Oryctolagus cuniculus: one gene and its partners. The main gene of each other region encodes a partner of the protein of the gene in region 4 in a complex. Links are inferred from orthologs where the notes say so. Each region holds a gene or a part of one and is shown on either strand. Other genes may lie near its edges.

What was found. Proteins that work in one complex are often made in the same cells at the same time.
Region 1: DRC1 (region 4) and IQCG share a complex: the UniProt entries of both Homo sapiens proteins name them as parts of the nexin-dynein regulatory complex. The link is inferred for Oryctolagus cuniculus from reciprocal best matches to the Homo sapiens genes DRC1 and DRC9.
Region 2: DRC1 (region 4) and DRC7 share a complex: the UniProt entries of both Homo sapiens proteins name them as parts of the nexin-dynein regulatory complex. The link is inferred for Oryctolagus cuniculus from reciprocal best matches to the Homo sapiens genes DRC1 and DRC7.
Region 3: DRC1 (region 4) and DRC12 share a complex: the UniProt entries of both Homo sapiens proteins name them as parts of the nexin-dynein regulatory complex. The link is inferred for Oryctolagus cuniculus from reciprocal best matches to the Homo sapiens genes DRC1 and DRC12.

Annotation. Positions count from the first base shown.
Region 1 is NC_091435.1:82,115,400-82,121,491, forward strand, and holds the start of IQCG (dynein regulatory complex protein 9), read left to right. Parts: upstream 1-2,711; 5' UTR 2,712-3,073; exon of another isoform or gene 3,074-3,191; intron 3,192-3,438; exon of another isoform or gene 3,439-3,704; intron 3,705-4,938; exon of another isoform or gene 4,939-5,161; intron 5,162-6,092. Other genes in the region: RPL35A (large ribosomal subunit protein eL33), read right to left, coding at 1,496-1,648, 1,862-1,872. UniProt on the Homo sapiens protein: Component of the nexin-dynein regulatory complex (N-DRC), a key regulator of ciliary/flagellar motility which maintains the alignment and integrity of the distal axoneme and regulates microtubule sliding in motile axonemes.
Region 2 is NC_091449.1:41,176,025-41,181,775, forward strand, and holds the start of DRC7 (dynein regulatory complex subunit 7), read left to right. Parts: upstream 1-2,370; 5' UTR 2,371-2,486; intron 2,487-5,751. UniProt on the Homo sapiens protein: Component of the nexin-dynein regulatory complex (N-DRC) a key regulator of ciliary/flagellar motility which maintains the alignment and integrity of the distal axoneme and regulates microtubule sliding in motile axonemes.
Region 3 is NC_091432.1:111,111,594-111,117,397, forward strand, and holds the start of DRC12 (dynein regulatory complex protein 12), read left to right. Parts: upstream 1-2,423; 5' UTR 2,424-2,485; intron 2,486-2,570; 5' UTR 2,571-2,643; intron 2,644-3,923; 5' UTR 3,924-3,935; coding exon 3,936-4,005; intron 4,006-4,336; coding exon 4,337-4,402; intron 4,403-5,435; coding exon 5,436-5,555; intron 5,556-5,804. UniProt on the Homo sapiens protein: Component of the nexin-dynein regulatory complex (N-DRC), a key regulator of ciliary/flagellar motility which maintains the alignment and integrity of the distal axoneme and regulates microtubule sliding in motile axonemes.
Region 4 is NC_091433.1:176,384,998-176,390,012, reverse strand, and holds part of DRC1 (dynein regulatory complex protein 1), read left to right. Parts: intron 1-554; coding exon 555-644; intron 645-1,065; coding exon 1,066-1,152; intron 1,153-3,899; coding exon 3,900-4,168; intron 4,169-5,015. UniProt on the Homo sapiens protein: Component of the nexin-dynein regulatory complex (N-DRC) a key regulator of ciliary/flagellar motility which maintains the alignment and integrity of the distal axoneme and regulates microtubule sliding in motile axonemes.

The DNA.
Region 1 (6,092 bases), on a different chromosome or scaffold from region 4:
CCATATGGCTGGCACATTTGTAAAAAGAGCAGTTAACCACAGGACATCCAAAATAAACCAAGAGAGACACATGGAAGGGTATATATATGCACAGTCACAGAAAGTGACTGCAATTTTAAGCAGCCAGAGAAGGACTCTCCTTAAGATGACAAAGCTTGGAAGGCAAGGGAACAGCCTTAGTTTCAATGGTGAACATGACCAAAAGAGGGAGCTACATATGCTAGCTGAAGTGTCCCTGTTTTGGGGAGGACTGAAGATACCAAAGGATGAATCCTAGTTGGCACAAGAGCAGAAACAGAGACTTCCATGTACACAGGCTCTTCAAAGGCCCTTTACAGACTTTTGGGGAGTGAACCATCGGGCAGAAGACCTCTTTCTCTAACTCTCACTTTCAAATAAATAAATAAATATTTTTTAAAAAAACCATATATTTGAAAGACAGAGTAGAGATCTTCCATCTGCTGGGTCACTCCTCAAATGGCGGGAATGGCCAGGACTGGGCCAGGTTGAAGCCAGGAGGCAAGAGCCTCTCCCACATGGGTGCAGGGGCCTAAGCACTTGGGCCACCTTCTACTGCTTTCCCAGGCCATTAGCAGGGAGCTGGATCAAAAGTGGAACAGCCGGAACTTGAACCAACACCCATATGGGATGCCAGCATTACAGGTGGCAGCTGTACCTGATATGCCGCAACGTGGGCCCCTTAATGACTTTGGTTCTTACTGAATATAACCACTGGGGCATTAGACAACACAACAGTGGACTGATAATTTTAAAGGAGTACCCTGCCTGTAGCAACGAAAGGGTGATAAAGATGAAAACATTTCCCCAGAGATTTTAATGGTCTGGTGTGAACTGACATCTAATGTTCTACACGTAGTAACTTTAAGAACATAAAAAAATACTATTTAAGTATTTAACCAAATGAATTGAGAATCATAACACAATGAATTGGCTCCTTCCTTTAAACAATTAATAGCTAGTGGCTGGGCACTGTGAATTAGTAGGCTAAGCCTCCACCCCTGGTGCCGGCATCCCATATAGGTGCCAGTTCAAGTCCTGGCTGCTCCTCTTCCAACCCAACTCTCTGCTGTGGCTGGGGAAACAGCATATGGAGGCCCAACTGCCTGGGACCCTGCACTAGCATGGGAAACCTGGAAGAAGCTCCTGGCTTCAGAAGGGCCCAGCTCCAGCTGGGTGGCCATTTGTGGAGTGACCCAGCAGATGGGGGATCTTTCTGCCTTTCCCTCTCAGTCTGTAACGCTATACTTTACATAAAAATTAAAACACAAAAACAAAAAACTTACTTATTAAAAAACCAATTAACAGCTGCAATTTTTCCAAGTGCTAAACCACCACCACCCACAAAACATTCTGCTGTAACCTCTCATTTAGTTCCCTCAAAGACCCAAAATAGGGGCCACAACAGCACTTTACCAACATCTTATTTATTCTTTTGGTAGAAAAATGAAAAATGTCAACAGCATTATAAACTTACTTCTTTGCTTTGTACACATAAGCACACCTCTTGCCCAAGTAGAATTCAGTTTCATCCCGAGCATAAACACCTTCAATTTTAAGCAGTGCCGTGTGTTCCCTTTGGTTCCGGAGACCTCGCTTATAGCCAGCAAAAATGGCCTTGCACCACAGTCTAAGACACAAGATACAGAACAGTGTATGAAAGCTGTTAAAGCATCTACAAACCACCAATATGATTTGACCCCAATGACTCCCGCCTACTTCGGTCATGTCCGATTTCACTATGAGTATCTATAGCATCTGATTTTCTCTTCCAGCATTTCGTGCTCTTTTAAGCCCATGTCTAACACAGAAACTACAAAGCGAGAACATTAGAAACACGTACCTTCCAGACATAGCTGCCTTCTAGAAGTCCTGCTCCCTGCAGGCCTTAAAAAAAAAAAAAAAAAGACTCAGTTTAAAGCCGTGCCATGCCAATTTCCCACCTTGTCGTCCGTTTCTTAAGCCTGCTGTGTCCTTTTTGATCGGCACTCCACCTGGCATGGGGGGGAACCTTAATTATGCTATAAGGTCTATACGAAAAGCAGTCCGTCAAGACTTGCAAACTTCAGAATGGCTGTTACCTAATCAAACTCCAAAGACAGATAAGCCAGGGCAACACACGGAAAGAGCCAATTCCTATAAACTTCAAGAGGAAACCCCCAAAAAAGAAACGAAAACTCAGGAAAGAATGCAGTTAAGCGCAGGGAAAAAACTTCTATGAATCGGCTTAGGACAGAAGAGCTGCGGAGATTACAGGCAAAAACATGTTTGGAGTAGAAGCAAATTGAAAAGGCCCAACGTTAAGCCGCTCACGCGCCAACTTCAGACCGACAGAGTGCATCTATTTCACATCGCTTGAGCCCAGGAACCAAGTCCCATTACCGGGGCACCAGGTCTCCGGGCGCGAGGGGACCTGCACCATCAGCCCCCCATCTCTTCCATCCCGTCCTCCCTCTTCCTGGAAACCATAGCAATCACTGGCTGGCAGGGCCTCAGAGCCGCACCAGACCCTCGTCAAGGTATATAGGTGAACCCAACCCGGTTATTTGCCTCCAAAGTTCAGCAGCAAACGCTCCACTCACCTCCACAGGCTCCAAGATGGCGGAAAGAGGAAGACGAGGCCCCGCCGCGTGGCCTTGTGGGATAAATACCTCCCCGCCCCGCCCCAAATTTAGGCATCTTCCGCGATCGCCAGAAAAACAAGCAGCAGAAATCATCTTGGGACTGAAGTGAACTACATTCAAGAGAACTTTTACAAATTCCTTTTCTAGGTCTTTCTATCTTTCTAAGCTGCAGTATGTATCATTTGGGAACAGCGGCGGGCAAGAAGACAGCCAGCTAAAGGAAGGGGGGGAAGGTCCCCAAACTCGTGTCGCCATAGAAACAGGTCCGCTTGGTTCTCGGGTACGCGGATTCCGTAGGTGGAAAGGCGAAGACGTTGCTCTGCCTCAGGTGCCTAATGCCGGGGTTCCTTTCCCATCTATGACACGGGAGTAGGGCGAACGGAGACTCGCGTCCTACCCGAGTCTGGAAGAAAAAGGCCGGGATCGCGAAGGCAGGAGCTCTCCCTTCTCTTCACCTATGTTTTTACTTCTCTCCCCCTCTACTCCTTTATCTCTTGAGAAATGGCTAAGTCCTTACTTCTAATTGCAGCCTTCGTTTTGACTGAGGGGGTAAGGAGGCCTGCTCTGCCTGGGCCTTTATAGGAGAATGTTTGAGCTTCCCGCTAGAAGCTCAGGGTGGCCAGCGCCGCGCCCACGCGTGGTAAATCCTGGGTAGAAACTACAGTGGATGGATTAGTGGACAGCAGAGATTTAAGCTGCCTAACTTTTGCACATTTATCTGAGTTGCCCTGCGGATTCTTTGATTATTTAGCCAGTAGTTTACTGAATGACTACCGCTTACCAACATTTATTGTAGGTTTGGAGGGTACTGCAGCAAACCAACCAACCAGAAATCTCTGGGCGAGACCATGCGTCTGCATATGAGCCATTCGAGGGTAATACTTCCATGGAGAAAAATTCAACAGGCCACCATAGGAAGGCTTTTTGCCCTCCCATCTGAGGTTTCTGAAGATGGAGAGTGACTCTAGCTGATACTTTTTTTTTTACCAGGATTCAACTGTGTTGACAAGGAACACAAGGGCGCCCGGGAGGCTGCTGTAATGATCCTAATGAGAGATGATGGTGTGTAGACAGGGCTGTTGAGTCCTGGAGTTCCTAAGGCATTTTAAATGTAACACTGGCAAGATTGGCTGATTAGTAAGTCACATTTAAGTCAGATCCTCTCTTAGGTACAGCAGGATAGGGCTTATGTCCCTTGTAGCCACCTGCCCCATCCCTTTTTCTCTGCCACAGAAATGTACTAGAAATCCCGCTCTTAAGAGATTAATTTCTTTAAAAAAAAAAGATTTATTTATTTATTTGAAAGAGTTACACAGAGAGAGGAGAGAGAGAGAGAGAGAGGTCTTCCATCCGCTGGTTCACTCCCCAATTGGCCGCAACGGCTGGAGCTGCGCCAGTCAGAGGCCAGGAGCCAAGAGCTTCTTCTGGGTCTCCCATGTGGGTGCAGGGGCCCAAGCACTTGGGCCATCTTCTACTGCTTTCCCAGGCCGTAGCAGAGAGCTGGATCAAAGTGGAGCAGCCAGGTCTTGAACCAGTGCCCATATGGGATGCCAGTGCTTCAGACCAGGGCATTAACCCACTGCGCCACAGTGCCGGCCCCAAGAGATTAATTCCTTAAGGTTCTAAATGAAAGTCTTCCCAGGGGAGAAGCATACATGAAGTGCAAGTTTCATTCATTTCACAAATCCTTATTGAGCACAGGGGCTGAAATGTAGAATCTGTCAGCATCATTGTCATGTTTCCTGGTCTGATGGAACTTAACGGCCTAGTGGGGGAAATTTACATAAGCATTAAAAATTGTGTGGCGAGCTGTGCTTGAAAATAGAGTGCTGTGAGTGCGTGAACAGAGGGCTCCTAGTGCAGCCTGATGAGTCAGAGCAGGTATCACTCGGAGGAAATGTCATCTAAGGTGTTTTTCAAACCATGGGTGATGAGCATTAATAGATTGTGATCATAATACTACTTTTTAAAAAGGTGTATTTATTTATGTGAAAGGCAGACACACACACACACACACACACACACAGAGACACACAGGTATTCCTAATGCTGGTTCACTTCCCTAGGTCTGGCCAGGGTAAAGCCAGGAGCCAGCAATCCCATCAGGTCTCCCATGTGGAGCCCAAGTACTGGGACCATTTCCCAGGTGCATTAGCAGGAAGCTAGATTGGAAGCAGAGTAGCTGGGACTCAAACTGGCACTTGTAGTTGGGATGCTGGTGTCACAAGCCAGTGGCTTGGTCCTCTGTGCCACAATGCCAGCAAAGACGTAATTTTTGTTCATTTATTTATTTCAGAGACAGAACTCCCATCTGTTGATTCACTCCCCCAGATGCCTGCAGTGACTTGGGCTGGTCCACCTGAAACTGTGAGCCAGGAACTCACTCCATGTCTCCCACGTGGGTGGCAGGAATTCATTTAATAGGATCAGCACTGCTGCTTCCCCGGATCTATATAATAAAGCTGGAGTCAGGTGCCAGAGCCCAGTATTGAGCCCAGATGCTCAGATATGGGACACAGGTATCTTAACTGGAATCTTAACCACTAGGCAAAATCTACTGCCCGGGGTACTTTTTAAAAAATTAGTGAGATTTTGTTATTTATGTATTTACTTATTCAAAAGGCAGAGTGACAGAGAAGGAGAAACAGAGAGTTCTTCTATCTGCTTGTTCACTCCCCAAATGAACACAATAGTCAGGGCTGGGCCAGGCTGAAGCCACGAACTAGGAACTCCATCTGAATCTCCTGTGTGGGTAGTAGTTACCCAAGTATCTGGGCCATCATCTGCTGGTTGCCCAGGCACACGAGCAAGAAGCTTTATCGGAAGCAGAGCAGCTGGGACTCAAGTCCTGCCTTTTGAATGCAGGATGCTGGAGTCACAAGTGGCAGCTTAACCTGCTAAGTTACAATGCTGGCCCCATAGTATTTTTTAAATAAAATATGATAACTCAGAATTATCAGACTATCACACAGGGTAAATGCTTTCAATGAAACTCTTGTTGTAGTTGTTTGTGTGAGAGTACGTACATAAATGTGTAAGTGTACCAAGTCATTGTGTCGGTCAGTGTTGCCCTGGAAAGAAACCACTGGCAGAACTGAGAGTCTCTTAAGGGATCTGTTTACAAAGGGGTAGGCAGGAGCTAACACTGTAAAGAATGTAGTCTCCAGAGACTTCTCTCGGCATGTAGTTACCTAGGCCCTGAGAGGGAGTGGTTAGGAGAGGATTGTCTGATAGGAACAATGGCCTTTGAGAAAGGAATACAGCCCCTAAATGATACTGGCAGGGAGAGAGGGGGAATCGATATTCATCCTTGACCTTCCTTGCCTACAGTTGGATCTTTTTCTGGACTCTCTGTTGATGCACTCCAAATGGATCAGTCTCTTGAGAGCACAGAAATGTAGGAGATTGGGTGGAGAGGACAAAAGGCATATACCTAGAAAAATGCCACAA
Region 2 (5,751 bases), on a different chromosome or scaffold from region 4:
GCTCTGCTGCCGGGGAGCTGAGCCATCACCTCTTCTGGCTGATCCTCAGTTTCTCCTCCATAACACGGGGACTGGAAAGTCCTCGCCTCATTCAGAGAGCGCTGAGTGATGTGGCAATGACAACGTGCCCAGCACTGGCCCAGCAGGAGGCAGCTGGCTCCCTAAGCCCCTCTCGGCTTAGAGAAAGTCCAGCTCTGAGCTGGGACAAGGAAAGCGAGGCTGGGAGAGGCCCAGCAGCCTGTCCACCTGCGGCCCCTCCACAGGCAGGGCTGAAGCCTCCCGGGACTGCCAGTCCCTCCCCCACAGCTTCCCTGGGCACAGGAACTCTCTCACCCCCCACCTCTCCAGAGACAGCCTGGCCTGGAGCCTTCTCACACATGCTCAGGGGCACATGGGACCACAGCCCCTGACGGCCGGGTTTGCTGGTGGAGAACGTAGGTGTGGCCCACCTGGGCACGCGCTCCTCTGCCGGCTGGCTCCCCTCTCCAGGGCCAGGCGGGGGCTGCAGGGCTGGGGTCCCTAAAAGAGTGACCCCCAGTACCAAGTGGCGCACACTTCCTAAGGCCAACAGGTGCTACGGCAGAAACATACCCCAGGCCCAGAACTGTCGCTGAGCGGCTCCACCAGCCCCGGAGGGTGGGGGGACATCAGCTGAGCACAGGCCTTGGGGCCAGATCCTGCCCCTGCCCAGGGCCCACCCCTCCCCCTCTCAGCCTGGGAAGGAGAGCAGGCAGTAGCCGCCCCCACCCCCAAGCTGAGGACAGAAAGGACTCATGAGAGACTGGCCATGAGGGCTGGGCAGGGCCTGGCCCCCAGCCCAACAGGGATGTGACCAGGCTGGAGCGTGACCTGGCCGTCACCTGCCCGGGGCCAGCCGGCTGTGCGGCAGGGAGGGGCCTTGGCTCTCTTCATCCCTGGTATCGTCATCACAGCACAACCGATACACGGAAGTAAAAGGCACATTTGCCCTACCTCGGGTAGACACCTTAATATTGGAAGACGTGAAATTCTTGACACACATTAATTCAATGCAATACCAGTAAAGATCTCAACTCATTTTATTTAGTTATTTATTTTTGGCCCCTCCTCGTGGAGGCCACTGGCCTGAAATCGCTGAGTGGGTGTTGAAGTTAGACTTGACCTCGGGCTCTAGAGGATATCACAGAGTCGGAGTGAGAAGCCCAACGTGGAGTCTGCAGGGATAGGAAAGGACTCGAGTGGAACAGAAGAGAGGGCTCAGCGTCAGCTCCGTGGACACCTGGTGAGCTGACACTCAGCAAGGATGGCAGGCCACGCGGGGAGGGTGGCCGCCGATGCCACCGGAGGAACACCAGCTTGTTATCGCGAGACTGAATGAACACGGTCGCCTGTACCCCTTGGCACAGAGAGGAGCTCTGGTGTGAGCATGAGAGCTGTAGGGTTAACACGGGGAAGATGAGGAAGGGCTTCTCAAACAGGAAACAGCAGACCACCAGCTAATCCCCGTCACCACCCCACAGCCGAGGCGTTCCGTGTGACAAGGACACCTCAGCCGACATCAGCAGACGCCGTGGAGTGGGGGAGGTTAGCCGCAGCATCTAAAGCCAGGGGCAGGCCGGTGCTGTGGTGCAGTGGGTTAAGCTGCACCTGTGGCCTGTGGCCTGTGATGTCAGCGTCAGCTGATTTGAGTCCTGGCTGCCCCACTTCCATCTCCGATCCAGCTCTCTGCTAATAGCCTGGGAAAGCGGTGGAAGATAATTCAGGCGCTTGGGTTCCTGTACCTTTGTGAGAGACCCGGATGGAGCTCCTGGCTCCTGGCTTTGGCCTGGCCTAGCCCTGGCTGTTGCAGCCATTTGGAGAGTGAACCAGCAGATAGAAGGTCTCTCTACTCAACCCCCCCCCCCCCCGTAACTCTGCCTTTCAAATAAATGAATAAAATAGATCTTTAAAAAATAATTAAAATAAATAAATAAACACTGCTCTGGGCCCCTACTGTAATGGATGGGTTTTCCTTGTCCTGAGCGCCATCTGCTAAGTCAGAGGTCCAGCCTGTCCCCAGCAGCCACCCCGGTCTCCGTGTCCCTGGAGGGAAGCCACAGTGGCTGGGAGGCAGGGGCCGAGGCGGTGCTGTGGGTGAGTAACCACAGCGGCTGGGAGGAACGGCCCTGCGTGTGGCCCTCGGCAGCTCCCCTGCACTCAGTAAGCCCCCGACTGATTTGACTAAGGCGAAGGGATCCCTCTCCCCAAGGCGGGTGTCACCACAGGGGCCTGGAAATCCGGAAGGGGTGAGTTTCCAGCTCCTATTGCTTTTGTTGTAATATAATCATCTGCTTGTAGGCTGTGTTTGACAACTGGAAGTTTAATCACCTGGACACTTTGGCCCAGGGAGTCGGGACAACTCAAAGACTACATTTCCCAGGAGCCTCCTCTCCGGGGACCAGCCCAGAGCTTGGGAACGCTGTTACCATGGAGACAGCTAACAGCTAGCACAGGCTGTCCTCGGAGGGGTGAGGAGGGAGCAGGGGTCTGGGGCTGCTGGACTGGCTTGGCAGAGGGAGGGGGACGGTCGTGGGATGAGGGGGATGCCTCTTCCTGGGGGGTCTTTAGCCCTGATCTTGGGGGGAGGTTTTCGTGAGTGTGTGTAGAGGGGAGGAGGGGGTTGCAGGGAAGAGACTGTGGATGGGGCAGGGTCCAGGGAGCTTTGAGGCAGGATGGCCCTCCCTAGCAGCTGTGGGGAGAATAAGGTGTTGCAGCTCTGGCCCCAGCTGCCCACCTCCCCCCTCTTCCAGGGGTCCCTTGCCCTTGGGTTCAGGGCCACCCAGTGCCGGCTCCACGGTAACCCCTGGCGCCCTCTGACACCTGGACCTGCTCCTTTCCTTCCTCACCACGTCCCTGCCTCCCACCGTCCTTTCCTGGACGTTCCTAACTCATTAGGCTCTGAAACGCACGGCTTACACAGCCAGGAAGAGATGGGTTTGAATCCCAAATCTGCCACTTACTAGCTACTACTGTATGTGCTGCCCTGAAGGTCTCTAGACCTCAATCTTGTCGTCTGCAAAGTGGGCATTGTAAGAGGGTCTGCACTGCAGAGTTGTTGGAGGATCCGTGAGAATAGCCCTGTGCAGCCCTAGCACGGGGTCTGCACATAGTAGCTGTTAACTAAACTGTGAGTGCCTCCGGGGCTCATGCTCTTTGTGCTGAAATGGATCTGATGCCCAGCCATGCTGTTTGGCTGGAGGTTTGTCCCCCAGGAACCGGGGTCCCAGACGGGCCTCGTGGATGGGCTTCCTGGACTTGGGGCCTCTGCTGTGACCTTGACCGACTGGCTTCCAGCACCAGGAGCGTTCAGCACATCCCAAGTCCTAGAACACAGAATTTCAGAACGGGGCAAAAGCACCTGGTCTTCCCTTCCTCTGGCAGGAGGGGAAACTGAGGCCCAGGAAGGGGCAGGGCATGGCGCAAGGGCACAGCAGGAGCAGGGAGCAGAGCCAGGATTTCTCCCAACCCTGGCTGCTGGCCAGCGATTTGTCTCCCCGGGGAGGGCGGGCCAGCATTTACCTCCTGGTCCCCTTTGCATGCTCGGGGCTGGCTCGATTCTGCAGGGTGATGAGAAACGGAGACACCTGCCCTTCCCTCCCTGCTCCACACCACAGCCTGGGAGTTGGGTCGGGTTTCCTCCTCGCTGGGCTCTTGCTCTGTTGGCTGTGGAGGAAGTAGACATTTGAGATGGGGTGATGGAAAGGCCGGAACCGGGGACCGGTGGGTCTGCTGGGGTGGCGCTGGGCAGCCAGGAGCAGGGACGCAAGGGGAGGCTGAGCTCTGCACCCACACGAGTCTAGAGCTGGCACTTGGGCCTCTGTGGCATCCCCTGGGACCTCCGTCCCCGTGTCTCCACCTGCCATCCTTAGTAGGCACGTGTGGTCACCTCACAGTCACGCCGTGGCCACCCCACCCCAGCTGGAGGTCCCCTTCCAGGCAGCAGGAGGAGAAAGGACAAAAGTTACAGCTGGGCCTCCTGGGCTCGGCCCTCTAATCAGCCGCCCGGGAATTTGTGCTCACGTCTCACTGGCCAGAACTCGGTCCCCTCTCAGGCCAGCACGCCACCTGTAGCTGCAGGAGGCTCTGGAAGCTGAACATTTGAGGGCACAGTTCTGCCCTCCCCAATGTGGGGCTCTGCTGTGGGGCAGGGCCTGGATCTCTGGGGAGGACAACAGGGTCCACTCAGCCAGGCCCTGCTCTGTGGCCAGCATGGGTCACAGAACCAGGCCTGTCCTCTGTCTGCTGGCCACACAGGGCGTGGCCAGGAGCTGACCCCATCACCTGCCCCTCATCCACGTGCCTTGGTCTCTCTGGTCTCTGTGCCTCAGGCCGCAGTTTGCTGAGATGAGACGTCACTCACCTGGAACCTTCATGGGTTTTTTGGTCACATTCTGTGTCGCTTGACTGTTGTGAATGCTTTTTGTAAACCAAGTCACTTTTTGGATTGAATCAAGACCTCTAAATAGGAGACCCTATGAAAGGGTAGCAATCCATACAGTATTAGCATCATTACTGTAAAGAAAAGATAACCATCAAAAGAGATGCGAGGGGCCAGTGTAGTGGTGCAGTGGGTTAAAGCCGCCGCCTGCAGCGCCAGCATCCCGTATGGGTGCCAGTTCAAGTCCCGGCTGCTCCACTTCTGATCCAGCTCCCTGCTGTTGCACCTGGGAAAGCAGCAGAGGATGGTCTAAGTCTTTGGGCCCCTGCACCCATGTGGGAGACCCGGAAGGAGTTGATGTGCACCCGTTTTTCTCTTTTTTAAGATTTATTTATTTATTTGAAAGGCAGAGTTAGAGAGAAGGAGAGACACAGGTCTTCCATCCTCTGGTTCACTCCCCCAAGAAATCAGGAGCTTCATCCGGGTCTGCACGTGGCTGGCAGCGACCCAAGCACTTGGGCCATCTTCACTGCTTTCCCAGGTGCCTTAGCAGGGAACTGGAAGGAAAATGGAGCAGCCAGGACTTGAACCTGGGCCCAAGGAGGATGCTGGCTCGCTACTGCCCCTGCCTGTCTAAAGGGAGTTGTGCAAGTAGAACACGTGGCTGTGCTGGGGGAGAGCAGGCACCTGCAGCAGGTGCCTCTCGGGTGCTGCCTTTACAGGAAGGGGGCGCTTGGCTATGCCACGGTGTCCTTGGCCACAGACGGAGACTGAGGCGCAGCGCGGGTGGTGGGCTTACAGAGGTGCTAGCGCCACACAGGACTTTGTCCTTGACCGAAAGGAAGTTTAAGAGGGAATCACTGGCCGGCGCCGTGGCTCACTAGGCTAATCCTCCGCCTTGCGGCGGAGGACTAGAACCCGGTGTGCCGGCACCGCAAGGCGGAGGATTAGCCTAGTGAGCCGCAGCGCCAGCACACCGGGTTCTAGTCCCGGTCGGGACACCGGATTCTGTCCCAGTTGCCCCTCTTCCAGGCCAGCTCTCTGCTGTGGCCAGGGAGTGCAGTGGAGGATGGCCCAAGTGCTTGGGCCCTGCACCGCATGGGAGACCAGGATAAGTACTGGCTCCTGCCATCGGATCAGCGCGGTGCGCCGGCCGCGGCGGCCATTGGAGGGTGAACCAACAGCAAAGGAAGACCTTTCTCTCTGTCTCTCTCTCACTGTCCACTCTGCCTGTCAAAAAAAAAAAAAAAAAAAAAAGAGGGAATCACTTCCGGTATGTGTGCTGGAGGCCACTTGAAACCATTTCCGGGGGTCCCAGGGATGCACAGTGGGGCTTGGCGGCTGTCGGTGATTGA
Region 3 (5,804 bases), on a different chromosome or scaffold from region 4:
CTGGATTGGAAGTGGAGAAGCCAGGACATAAACCGGTGCCCCCATAGGATATTGGCACCGCAGGGGGAGGCTTTACCCACTATGCCATAACACCAGCCCCCCACCCACCCACCCAGTGCCTTTCAAATAAATAAAAATAAAACTTTAAAAAAGTTTTGGGCCGGTGCCATGGCTCACTTGGCTAATCCTCTGCCTGTGGCGCCAGCATCCCATATGGGTGCAGGTTCTAGTCCCGGTTGCTCCTCTTTCAATCCAGCTCTCTGCTGTGGCCCGGGAGGGCAGTGGAGGATGGCCCAAGTGCTTGGGCTCCTGCACCCGCATGGGAGACCAGGAGAAGCACCTGGCTCCTGGCTTTGGATCAGTGATGCGCCGGCCATGGTGGCCATTTGAGGGGTGAACCAACAGAGGGAAGACCTTTCTCTCTCTCTCTCTCTCTGTCTATAACTCTACCTGTCAAAAAAAGAGTTTTTAGATTTATTTATTTATTTATTTGAAAGATAGAGTGCTGCTGTGGCCTGGGAAAGTCCTTGGGTCCCTGCACATGTGTGGGAGACCCAGAAGAAGCTCCTGGCTCCTGGCTTCAGATGGGCACAGCTCTGGCCATTGCAGCCATCTGGGGAATGAACCAGTGGATGGAAGATGGCTCTCTCTCTCTCTTCATCTGCCTCTGTCTCTCTGTAACTCTGCCTTTGAAATAAATAAATCTTAAATAAATAAATAAACTAGAAGAAAGAATAAAACTATTAAAAAACACAATAATGATTTCAAAGGATTATATACTTTTTTAAAGATTTATTTTTATTTATTTGAAAGACAGAGTTACAGAGAGAGGTAGAGACAGAGAGAGAGTGATGGTTCACTCCCCAGATGGTCTCAATGGCCAGAGCTGCACCAATCCGAAGCCAGGTTCCAGGAGCTTATTCCGGGTCTCCCACATGGGTGCAGGAGCCCAAGGACTTGGGCCATCTTCTACTTTCCCAGGCCATAGCAGAGAGCTGGATTGGAAGCGGAGCAGCCAGGACTTGAACCAGCGTCCATATGGGATGCCGGCACTGCAGGCAGGCAGCGGCTTTACCGACTACACCACAACACTGGCCCCCTGACAGTCCCTATTCCTCAGACTCATTTTTCCCAACCACTGTGACTCTAGCGAGATGCTAGGAAGTACCTCAAAAAGGGACTCAGTCCCACACTGCCCAGAGATAATCCAAAATAAAAAACCTTGTGCAGATACTGTGGCGTAGAAGGTTAAGCCACTGCCTGCATGGCGGGCATCCCATATCAGAGTGCTGGTTTGAGTCCCAGCTGCTCCACTTCTAATCCAGATTCCTGCTACTGCGCCTGGGAAGCAGCAGCTGATGGCCCAAGCATTTGGGCCCCTGTCACCCATGTGGGAGACCTGGATGGAGTCTTGGGCTCCTGGCTTCGGCCTGGCTCAGACATGGCTGTGGTTGGCATTTAGGGAGAAAACCAGATGGACGATCTCTGTCTCTCTCTGTATCTGTCGTTCTGCCTTTCAAATAAATGAAATAAATCTATATAAAAAAAAAATTTAGCAGACTTGGGAATACAAGCGAGTCCACTAGAGGGAGCCCCAACCAACTCTATGGTACAGGGAGCCCCTCAAGGTAGTTTCTGAAAATCAACCACCTAAAGGCAATAGATTCAGTGGGTGCAATAAGACAGTCATGTAAATACCCAGTCAAGACCCAGGACCTTCAGAATTTACCAACTCCGTGATGTAAAAGGCAGGAAGCAGGCTAAACCAAGTTAAATAGCTTCCACCTCCAGAGAGGGGGCCTGTGCTGCAGTTTTGGTCCCTAACCAGTGTCCATCCCGCCAAGCCAATACCCCAGAGTCTACGGGTCCTCACTCCTCTGTGTCTCATTTTTCTGGAAGTCTGCCCCAGCACCTGCTCCTGCACCCTGCAGAATGCCTTGCCGAAGGGACGCTTCCGGTTTCAGCACAAGGTCATCTTGCAATAGGATCTCAGGATGTGGATCGTCCAAGACGGCTGCCATCACGCTTTTCCTCCACATCCGCACAACAGTGTTGTCTCAGCCGTGCAAATCTGTCATTTCTGAGTCTCCAAATGACAGCACCTACGTGGAAGTGAATCACAGCTAGTTTGCTCCAAAGCCCTTTCTTTTCAAACTATGCTTAGGATTTGTGGATGAAAGGAGAACTACCTTTCCCAGACCTTGGTCTTTTAGGCATTGTGAGTTGATCTGGCCTATTGCACCTTCTCATGAACTCCATGTTGCTCAGTTGCCTGGGCAACATGCAACCTCCAGAAACCCAACCTTCCAGTTCTCAGTCCAGCCCCCTGAGGAAAATGTGCTGCCTTGGATTGGCTCCCAGGACGCAGGCTCCTCCTCAGGCTCCTAGCTTATTGGGCCTTCTCTCTGTCTCTCCCCACGAGTGGCTCACTCTACAGGGAGACCCAACACAGGCAAGAGAGGGTCTGACAAGTGGTGGAGGTGAGGTAAGGATGAAGGCAAGAGGGAGGGGACAGCTATGGGAATGTATCTTCGCCAAGAGAGCTGAGAGTAACAGCTTTCTGTATGCAGTGTCTTCCCCACTGACCCCAGCCCCGCCTGAGGCTCCAAGGAGACCGGCAACTGAAGCTTCTGGAAAGTAAAGGTTTGTGGGAAATGTAATTAAAAGACAAGCTTATTTTGGTGCAAAAAATTCTTCCAAGTATATTTGAGGGATGTTCAAAAAGCTCATAGAACATGTGTATTGTGAAAAAAAACTGTGGGCCGGTGCCGCGGCTCACTAGGCTAATCCTCCGCCTGCGGCGCCGGCACACCGGGTTCTAGTCCTGGTCGGGGCGCCGGATTCTGTCCCGGTTGCCCCTCTTCCAGGCCAGCTCTCTGCTGTGGCCAGGGAGTGCAGTGGAGGATGGCCCAAGTGCTTGGGCCCTGCACCCCATGGGAGACCAGGATAAGTACCTGGCTCCTGGCTTCGGATCAGCGCGCAGGCTGCAACAACCATTGGGGGGTGAACCAACGGCAAAGGAAGACCTTTCTCTCTGTCTCTCTCTCTCACTGCCCACTCTGCCTGTCAAAAAAAGAAAAAAAAAAAAAGAAAAGAAAAAAGAAAAAAAAAGAAAGAAACTGTGAATGGATTTAACTGTATTTTCTATTAACTTTTTTGTTCTTTTGTTGTTGTTGTTGTTCTCATTTCTCCCTTAATTGTAACTATGTTGAGAGTCAGAGAGAGACCGACAGAAAGACAGACAGAGGCCCCATCTGCTGGTTCACTCCCCCAATTCCCCTAATGGCTGGGACTGGACCTGGCCAAAGCTGGGAGCTGGGAACTCAGTCCAGTTCTCCCAAGGGGGTGGCAAGAATCCACCTGCTTGAATCACCCTGCTACCTCCCCGAGTCTCTGCAGCAGGAAGCAGAAGTCAGGCGCTGCAGCCAGGAGTGCAGCAGGCACTCTGATATGGACTGTGGACGTCTTGACCACTAGACCGAATGCCCAGTCTGTATCCCACGAACTTTCTAAAGTACCATTCGAGTGCCAGTTCAAGTCCTGGCTGCTCCACTTCTGATCCAGTTCCCTGTTAATGTGCCTGGAAGGCGGCAGAGAATGGGCAAGTCCTGGGGCCCCGGCACCCACGTGGGAGATCAGGGGTCCAGACTCCTTACTTCTGCCTGGCCCAACCCTGGCCACTGGGGCCATTTAGGGACTAAATCAGCAGATGGAAGATCTCTCCTTCCACCCCCTGCCCCAACTCTGGCTTTCAACTAAATAAATATTTTTTTGAAATAAATAAATCTTTAAAAAAGAAAGACTTGTGTCTTTAAAACAAGAGAAAGGGGCAGACTTGGAAAGCAGACTTCTGACCCTCCCAAGACTCCTGGTTCAGGATCCCCTTGTCCAGATTTGAAAGCAAGGTCCCCTCCCTCCATCAGGACAGCAAGGAAATGCCACCCAAGACCAAACAGAAAGGCAGGAAAGCCGGCGTGCAGAAGAAGAAAAAGAACCCAGGGCCGGGTGAGTCGTCGTGGGTGGGGGTGGGTGCCCGTTTCTCTGGGTTCTGAAACAGAGACCAAGCAGAGGCCCGCAGCACAGTCCTCGCTGTCCAGATTCCACGGAGCTGAGGAATGGGGGAATGGTCACCCACGCCCTCCCTCGAGACCGCCCAGCTCTGTGCCTCCCCACTGGTCACCCATATGTTGAATGCCTCATCTGTGCTGGGCAGGGAGCACACGGTGCATGCTGAATGGACTCTGCCCGCAGGGAGCCCTCAGAGCTGGCTCAGGACGGAGTCCAGGGCCGGGGGCGGGGGTCATGTAAGCTAAGGCTCTGTCATTTGCCAGGACAGATGTGGAGGCCGAGTCCAAGCACAGACAGCTGGTGCTGGAGACGGAGCTGCTCCGAGACCGGCTGGGTAAGAAGGGTGAGCTATCTGGGACCACAGAAGCAGAGCAGTGGGGGCGCTGCTGTGTCCTGGCGGGACTGGACGTTTGGAGCCACGGTGGAAGCTACGCCAAACCCTAACCATCCCCTAGTGGAACAGGACAGGGAAGGCTGATGAGGGACGCTATTATTTACAGCCAGAACATGGAGGGAGGTTTTACTCCTTAGCAATGAAAAGCTCATGAGATCCTAGGAAAATAAAATGACCCAACAACCTGGAGAGACAGAAAGGGGCGGGCATTGTGGTGACATGGGTTCAGTCACCACCTGCGACACCAGCATCCCACTGGCTGCTCCACTGCCAGTCCAACTCCTGCTAATGTTTCTGGGAAAGCAGCCGGTAATGGTGCAAGTACTGGGGCCCAGCCCCAGCCATAGCAGCCATTTGGGGAGTGAATCAGTGGATGGACAATCTTTCTCTCTCTGTCTCTGTCTCTCTCTCTCTGCCACAGTGCCTTTCAAATAAATAAAATAAATACTTAAAAAGAAAAAAAAAAACAGAAAGAGAAAGAGAAAGAATAAGAGGTGGGGTGCCCTGCCCCCAGGTGTCTTTTATTTTTAAGATTTATTTATTTATTTGAAAGTCAGAGTTACATAGAGAGAGAAGGAGAGAGAGAGAGAGAGAGAGAGAGAGAGAGAGAGGTCTTCCATCCACTGGTTCACTCCCCCAGTTGGCTACAATGGCTGGAGCTGCACTGATCCGAAGCCAGGAGCCAGGAGCTCCTTCCAGGCCTCCCAGGCAGGTGCAGGGGCCCAAGGCATTGGGCCATCTTCCACTGCTTTCCCAGGACATAGCAGAGAGCTGGATCAGAAGTGGAGCAGCCAGGACCTGACTGGTGCCCATATGGGATGCCAGCACTGCAGGCAGTGGCTTTACTCACTATACCACAGCACCTGTTCCAGCTACCACCGGATTTCTAGAGACAGGAAAGGCCATCCAGCCCTCTGGGGCTGATTCAGCGGCCCTCAGCAGGCTCTGAGCAGGGCTCCGGGACCGCTCGCAGCTCTACAGGGGGAAGGGGCCCGTCGAGCCAAGGCTTCTGAAGAAAGGCTGAAGCAGAGGTTGCAAGAGTTGGAGGCTGAACTGGAAGAGGCCCGCAGCGAGGGGAAGGCCGTATATGCAGGTGCGTGGTCGGTTCAGCAGCTGGGCAGGACACAAGGGCCTGGGAGAAGATAAGAGGGGCTTCTGACTGCCGGGCCCGGTCTCAGCCTTCCCTGCGTAGCACAAAGCAGGCAACTCCTGGTGGATGCAAGGAGGCCTCTGGGCTCGCAGGCAGGGACCTTCCAGGGTGCCTGGGGCCAGTGTCAGTGCCAGCTGCACTGGGGGACACAGGACGCAGTCCCAGCCACTGTTTCATTCACTCAGCAGCAGT
Region 4 (5,015 bases):
TCTGTTAGGCTTGGGCATCTGCACCGGGTGTCAGCGACGACACTTAGGGCTGGTTCAGCCGCGCTGAGTGCTTACTTAGAGTGTGTGGTTCTGAGGTGCAGGGAAGTGGGGGAGCAAGGATGGGCGGCCTCTGTCCCCTGGGGACAGCTGGGGTAGTTTTCTGTGGCACCGGGGCTGAGGGAGTCAGCTGGCAGGGCCTCCCCTCTCTGCAGGCTGCGGGGAGCCCGCCCCAGGCGCTCAGGGCCCCCATGCCCGCCTCGCTCCATGCCTGCCCCTCGCCCAGCTCGGCATTCTGCAGCACTTGGGGGGTCAGTGCTGTGACCGGGTCGGGTCTGGACCGCTGTGGGGGGGGCCTGGGTGTGCGCCCAGTGGCTGGTGGCTGAGGGGAATGGGTGCAGGGCACTCATGTCTGAGGCAGGGCAGGCCCTGGCCGTGCCCCTGCAGAGGCTCGGGCATGCGCACAAGGCCTTGCTCGCCTCCTGGGTTTTGCTCCTGTGCGCAGCCGCAGGCTGAAGCCCCCCTCTGACTGGAGCCACCTTCTTGCGCCTCCTCAGGGTTTCCTCATAGAGAGCAAGCTGATGAGCCTCCTCCTGCCCCTGGAGACGAGCGAGTGCTACCTGCTGCGGTTGGACGCCATCTTCTCGGTGAGTGCCGCGGGCCGGGCCGGGGACAGCCCCGTCTGCCCGACCTGGAACTCGTCTCCACCCTGGGAGTAGGCAGGGTCTCCCAGAGTGCCACTGGGCTCCGGGCTGCCCTGCCCTGCCCCTGCACGCAGCCATCAGCCATCGGCTTGTCCCCGGGCTGCACCCTGCCCGCGTCTCTGGTGCGCCCTGGCTTCGCAGTTGTGTGTGCAGCCGCCTGTCATCAACTTCTCCCACCCCCACCCCCCCACATCAGCCAGCAGCGCTGCTGTCAGCACAAAGGCGCCCGTTTCCTGGAGGTGCCCCACGCCCCGTGAATGCCCCGTGCCGTGGGCCAGGGCAGCCTCCAGGACACTGGGCGGAGCACCCTGGGCCCAAGGCCGCTGTCGCGGGCGCTGGGGCAGCCGTGCTGTTTCCTCTGCAGGCCCTGGGGATCGAAAGCGAGGAGGACCTGTACAAGCTGGTGCACTTCTTCCTGAAATACCGGGCTCACCATCTGTCCTCCAGCCAGGTGAGGAGACCTTGGGCCGAGGGGAGAGCGGCCCCAGGGAGCGGCCCTTCTGCAGAGATGGTGGGGAGTTTGGGGGTTTGTGCGGGGGGCCACCCCCAGCCTCCCTTGTTCTCATTTCCTGTTTGCTGGGGCTGAGAGGCGGCTGCTCCTTCCCTGGGCCCGGCCTCAAGGCGGGGGAAGGCACTGCGAGGTCAGCCCACGGCCGCCCACACCTCCGCCGTAACCAGGTCAGCCCATCCGGAGAAGTCGTCATACTGACAGTGTAAGCTACAGAAGTGTGGTGTGAAATAAAAACATTGAATTTGCACAATGTTTCAGCCTGGCTAGCCACGCGGTGAGTATCCTGATGTGTCTCAGGAAGAGCTGACCGGTGGACAAAGCCGAGAAGCGTGAAGGAGAAGAGAAGACGATGCACTGACAGTTTTCATAGGTGTTCTGCAGGGCAGCAGTCACTGTGTGCAACCTTAGGAGGACAATGATGGCCTGGTGAATAGTATTTGCAACTCATATTACAGGGAGGGCCAGTTTCCTTGGTATATAAAGAGCTCCCAGAAACCAGTATGAAAATGACCAGGAATTCAGTAGAGCGGATGATAGATAAGAATGAATGCCCCAGGAGGCGGTAGAGACGACCTTTAAACTCCTACAAAGCCGTCGGATTTCCCTGTAGTAAAAGCAGCGTGCGCCAAAGCTTCCCAGATTCCACTTTCCACCTGCTGGGCTGTCACCACCATGGAAGTTCACTAACACATGGCTGATACGGGCTGTGGATCCGTGGATCTTAATCTGGCTCCAGGTTCTTGCTGCCCACAGAGAGGAGACTTCAGAGTTGGGGGTGGGGTCTTGTCTTCCCGTGAGAAAGATTTCAGGCATAGACAGCTGTGGTAGGCAAGGCTTACGGGGTAGGGCATCCATCAGAACCGGGTGGTACAGAATCCGAGAGGTGGCCAGTCGCTCAGACTGGGGAAGGCAAGGTGACGTGGTTGAATAGAGCGAATGCCCCTGGCAGGCCAGAGGGAGCCGAGTGCTGGGCGCAGTCCGTCTTCAGGCGGGGCCTTATAGGGGAAAGGGGCCGAGTTCCCCCCGCCGTTCCTCCTCCCGCTCCTCCTCCTCCTCCAGGGGAAAGGGTTTGCTGAGTGTGAATTGGGACGGGTTCCTCCCCCAGGGTGCCCGTCTTGGAGGAAGGCTGTAGAGGTCACCAGGCCAGGTGCCCCGTCGAGCAGGGGGGCACCCTCCTGGGAGCTTCCCTTCAGGGAAGGGCTGAGACCACTTGGAAAGTTCCCAGGGTCTGGGCAGGGCAGTGCAGTGTAAACACGGGGCTGCTTCCGAAGGGGACGTCTGCAGTTGCTGGCTCCCTGCCCCTCTCACCTGTGGGTGCATTTCTAGCTTCCTGCTAGCAAAGTGGAGGCCTCACGCAGTGCAGAAGTGAGAGTGGACATGCTAAAGGCAGAGTGGACATCAGTTCAGGTGTGAGTGTGGCCCCCCAACACGGAGCGGTGCCTCAGCGAGGAAGCCCGGTCAGGGCAGTGGAGCCCCTGCCCCACCGCCAGTCTCCTTTATGAGGCAGGAGTGTGGTGCTGTCTGGGATTTGACTTCCACGTGGTCGTCATGGCGTCCTCTCCTGCCCGGTCCCAGCTGAGACAGGTGCAGGTGGGTGTGACAGGGAAGGTGGGCGTGTCGAAGCTGATGGGTGAGAGGGATAAAGTCGCAGTGCAGGGTTAGCACAAACTCCAGCGCCCTGTCCAGCTGCCCGCCTCGTTCCCCAGATCATGGTGATGGCAGAGTCCGAGTGTCACTTGTGCCCTCCAGGGCGCAGCCCTTGGCCACGTCGGCTGCTCCTCTCTGGGCTCCGGGTTCACGCTGGCTCCCGGCGCAGTGGGGCCGAGGTGCAGATGAGCTGCTCGCTCTTCAGGCATCGTCTGAAATGGCAGAGGGTGAGGTTCACACCGCGCTGTGGGGCTGGAGGAAGTTCTTTGTGCACACAGTCGGGGACGAGCGGTGGCATGGAAGGGGAGCCAGGGCTGGGGGCCGTTGCTTTCTTTGGGAGGGGTCGGGAGAAACTCGGTCTCTTGGATCTGCTTAACCCCAGGAGGTAAACTGAGTAGATTTCGGGACAGAAATAGGAAGGAGACTAAATTTAAAATTGAAGACATTTATTTTGTATTATGATTCAAAAGGATATGTATAATGTGTAAGCTTTAAGAATATCATTGAGGGGCCAGCGCTGTGGCGTAGCGGGTAAAGCCGCCACCTGCAATGCTGGCATCCCGTATGGGCACCGGTGTGAGTCCTGGCTGCCCCCTTCCAACCCAGTTCTCTGCTAATGGCCTGGGAATGCAGAAGAACTGGCCCAAGTCCTTGATCCCCTGCACCCATGTGGGAGACCCAGAAAAAGCTCCTGGCTCCTGGCCTCAGCCTGGCCCGGCTCTGGCCATTGTGGCCATTTGGGGAGTGAACCAGTGGATGAAAGACCTCTCTCTCTCTCTGCCTCTCTGTAGCTCTTCCTTTCAAGTAAATAAATCCTAAAAAAAGAGTATCAGTGAGATGCACCCCTGTGTGACCAGATGTGGAAGAACCCCGGTGCTGTCTGGAAGCCCTCGTGTGCCTCTCCCAGCACCCCCCCCCCCCCGCCCATGTTGGCCTCTGTTCCACCCCGGCCAGGTTTCTGGACGTCTCACGCCATGCTTGCCCTTCCTGCAGTGGGGCGTGGGCGTCCCTGACTGTGGTCCCCTTGCACCTTTCCCCAGATCGCCCCCTCGGACCAAGTGAACGCAGAGCGGCTGAGCACGGTGTCGTTCATGGAGCAGACGAGCGTGGTATCTGTGCCCGAGCACTTGAGCTTGACGTCAGCCTCCGAGGAGGAGCTGGCCGAGCAGACGGCGCCCGAGGGAGAGGCGGAGAGCCCGGTGGAAGGGGAGCAGGCAGAGAGGGAGAGCCCGCTTTCCCCCAAGCTCATTCACCCCAACGACGTCCTCAAGGTGCTGGAGGCCTTTGTCATGGGCCTGCGGAAGCCCAGGTGAACCGCGGCTCGGGCACGGAGCCTGGCAGAGGGCAGTGAGGGCCGCGGGGGCAGGAAGTGGGCCTCCAGAGGAGGGCCGGAGGGGTCGCTGGGCTGAGAAGGAAAGGGGTATGGCAGTGCTGGGCACTTTATTCACTCATCATGCATTCATTTGGCAAGCAGTTGCTAGGCCTGCCAGGTGAGGGCGCCATGGAGAGAACAATGCCGGAGCACGGTAGCAGGTGCACTGTGTGGTTCATGAGGAAGTGGCCTATCAGAGAGGGTTCTGGGAGGAGCTGGCACAGGAGCTGGGTGCTCCCAGGTGCATCAGGTGGGGACAGGGCTTTTCAGGACGCAAGGGCCCAAGGGAAGGCCTGGTGCGCCTGGGACTCAGGACAGGGAGGGATGACCACAGTGCCATGGGCTGTGAGGCTGGGGCTGGTGGCGAGGAGCCGGCCAGCTCTCACTGCGCCTGTGGGCCTGGGGCCAGGAAAGAGCTGGGAGCCGCGGGGGAGCCCAGGTCAGGGCTGCATTTTAGAAAGATCCTATTGGCAGCTGTGTGTGTGTGTGTGTGTGAGAGAGAGAGAGAGAGAGAGAGAATACAGGGAGAGCACTCAGGAGGTGGCAGTGTCCTGGGTTGAGGCCATCAGAGGGGGTGACCAAGTGAGAGCCGTTTCAGATGCCTTTGTGAAAGAAGTGGGTGTGGACATGCAGTCACTGGGGGCGGGGCGTAAACTGGGGTGGGGGTGGTGATGCTTTCAGGATGTCTGGTGGTACCCAGGGCCCGGAACCGTGTCCTGCCGATCGTCAGGCCCGGAGAGCCGAGCGTCAGGCCCGGAGAGCCGAGCGGGAAGGAAGGGTGGAA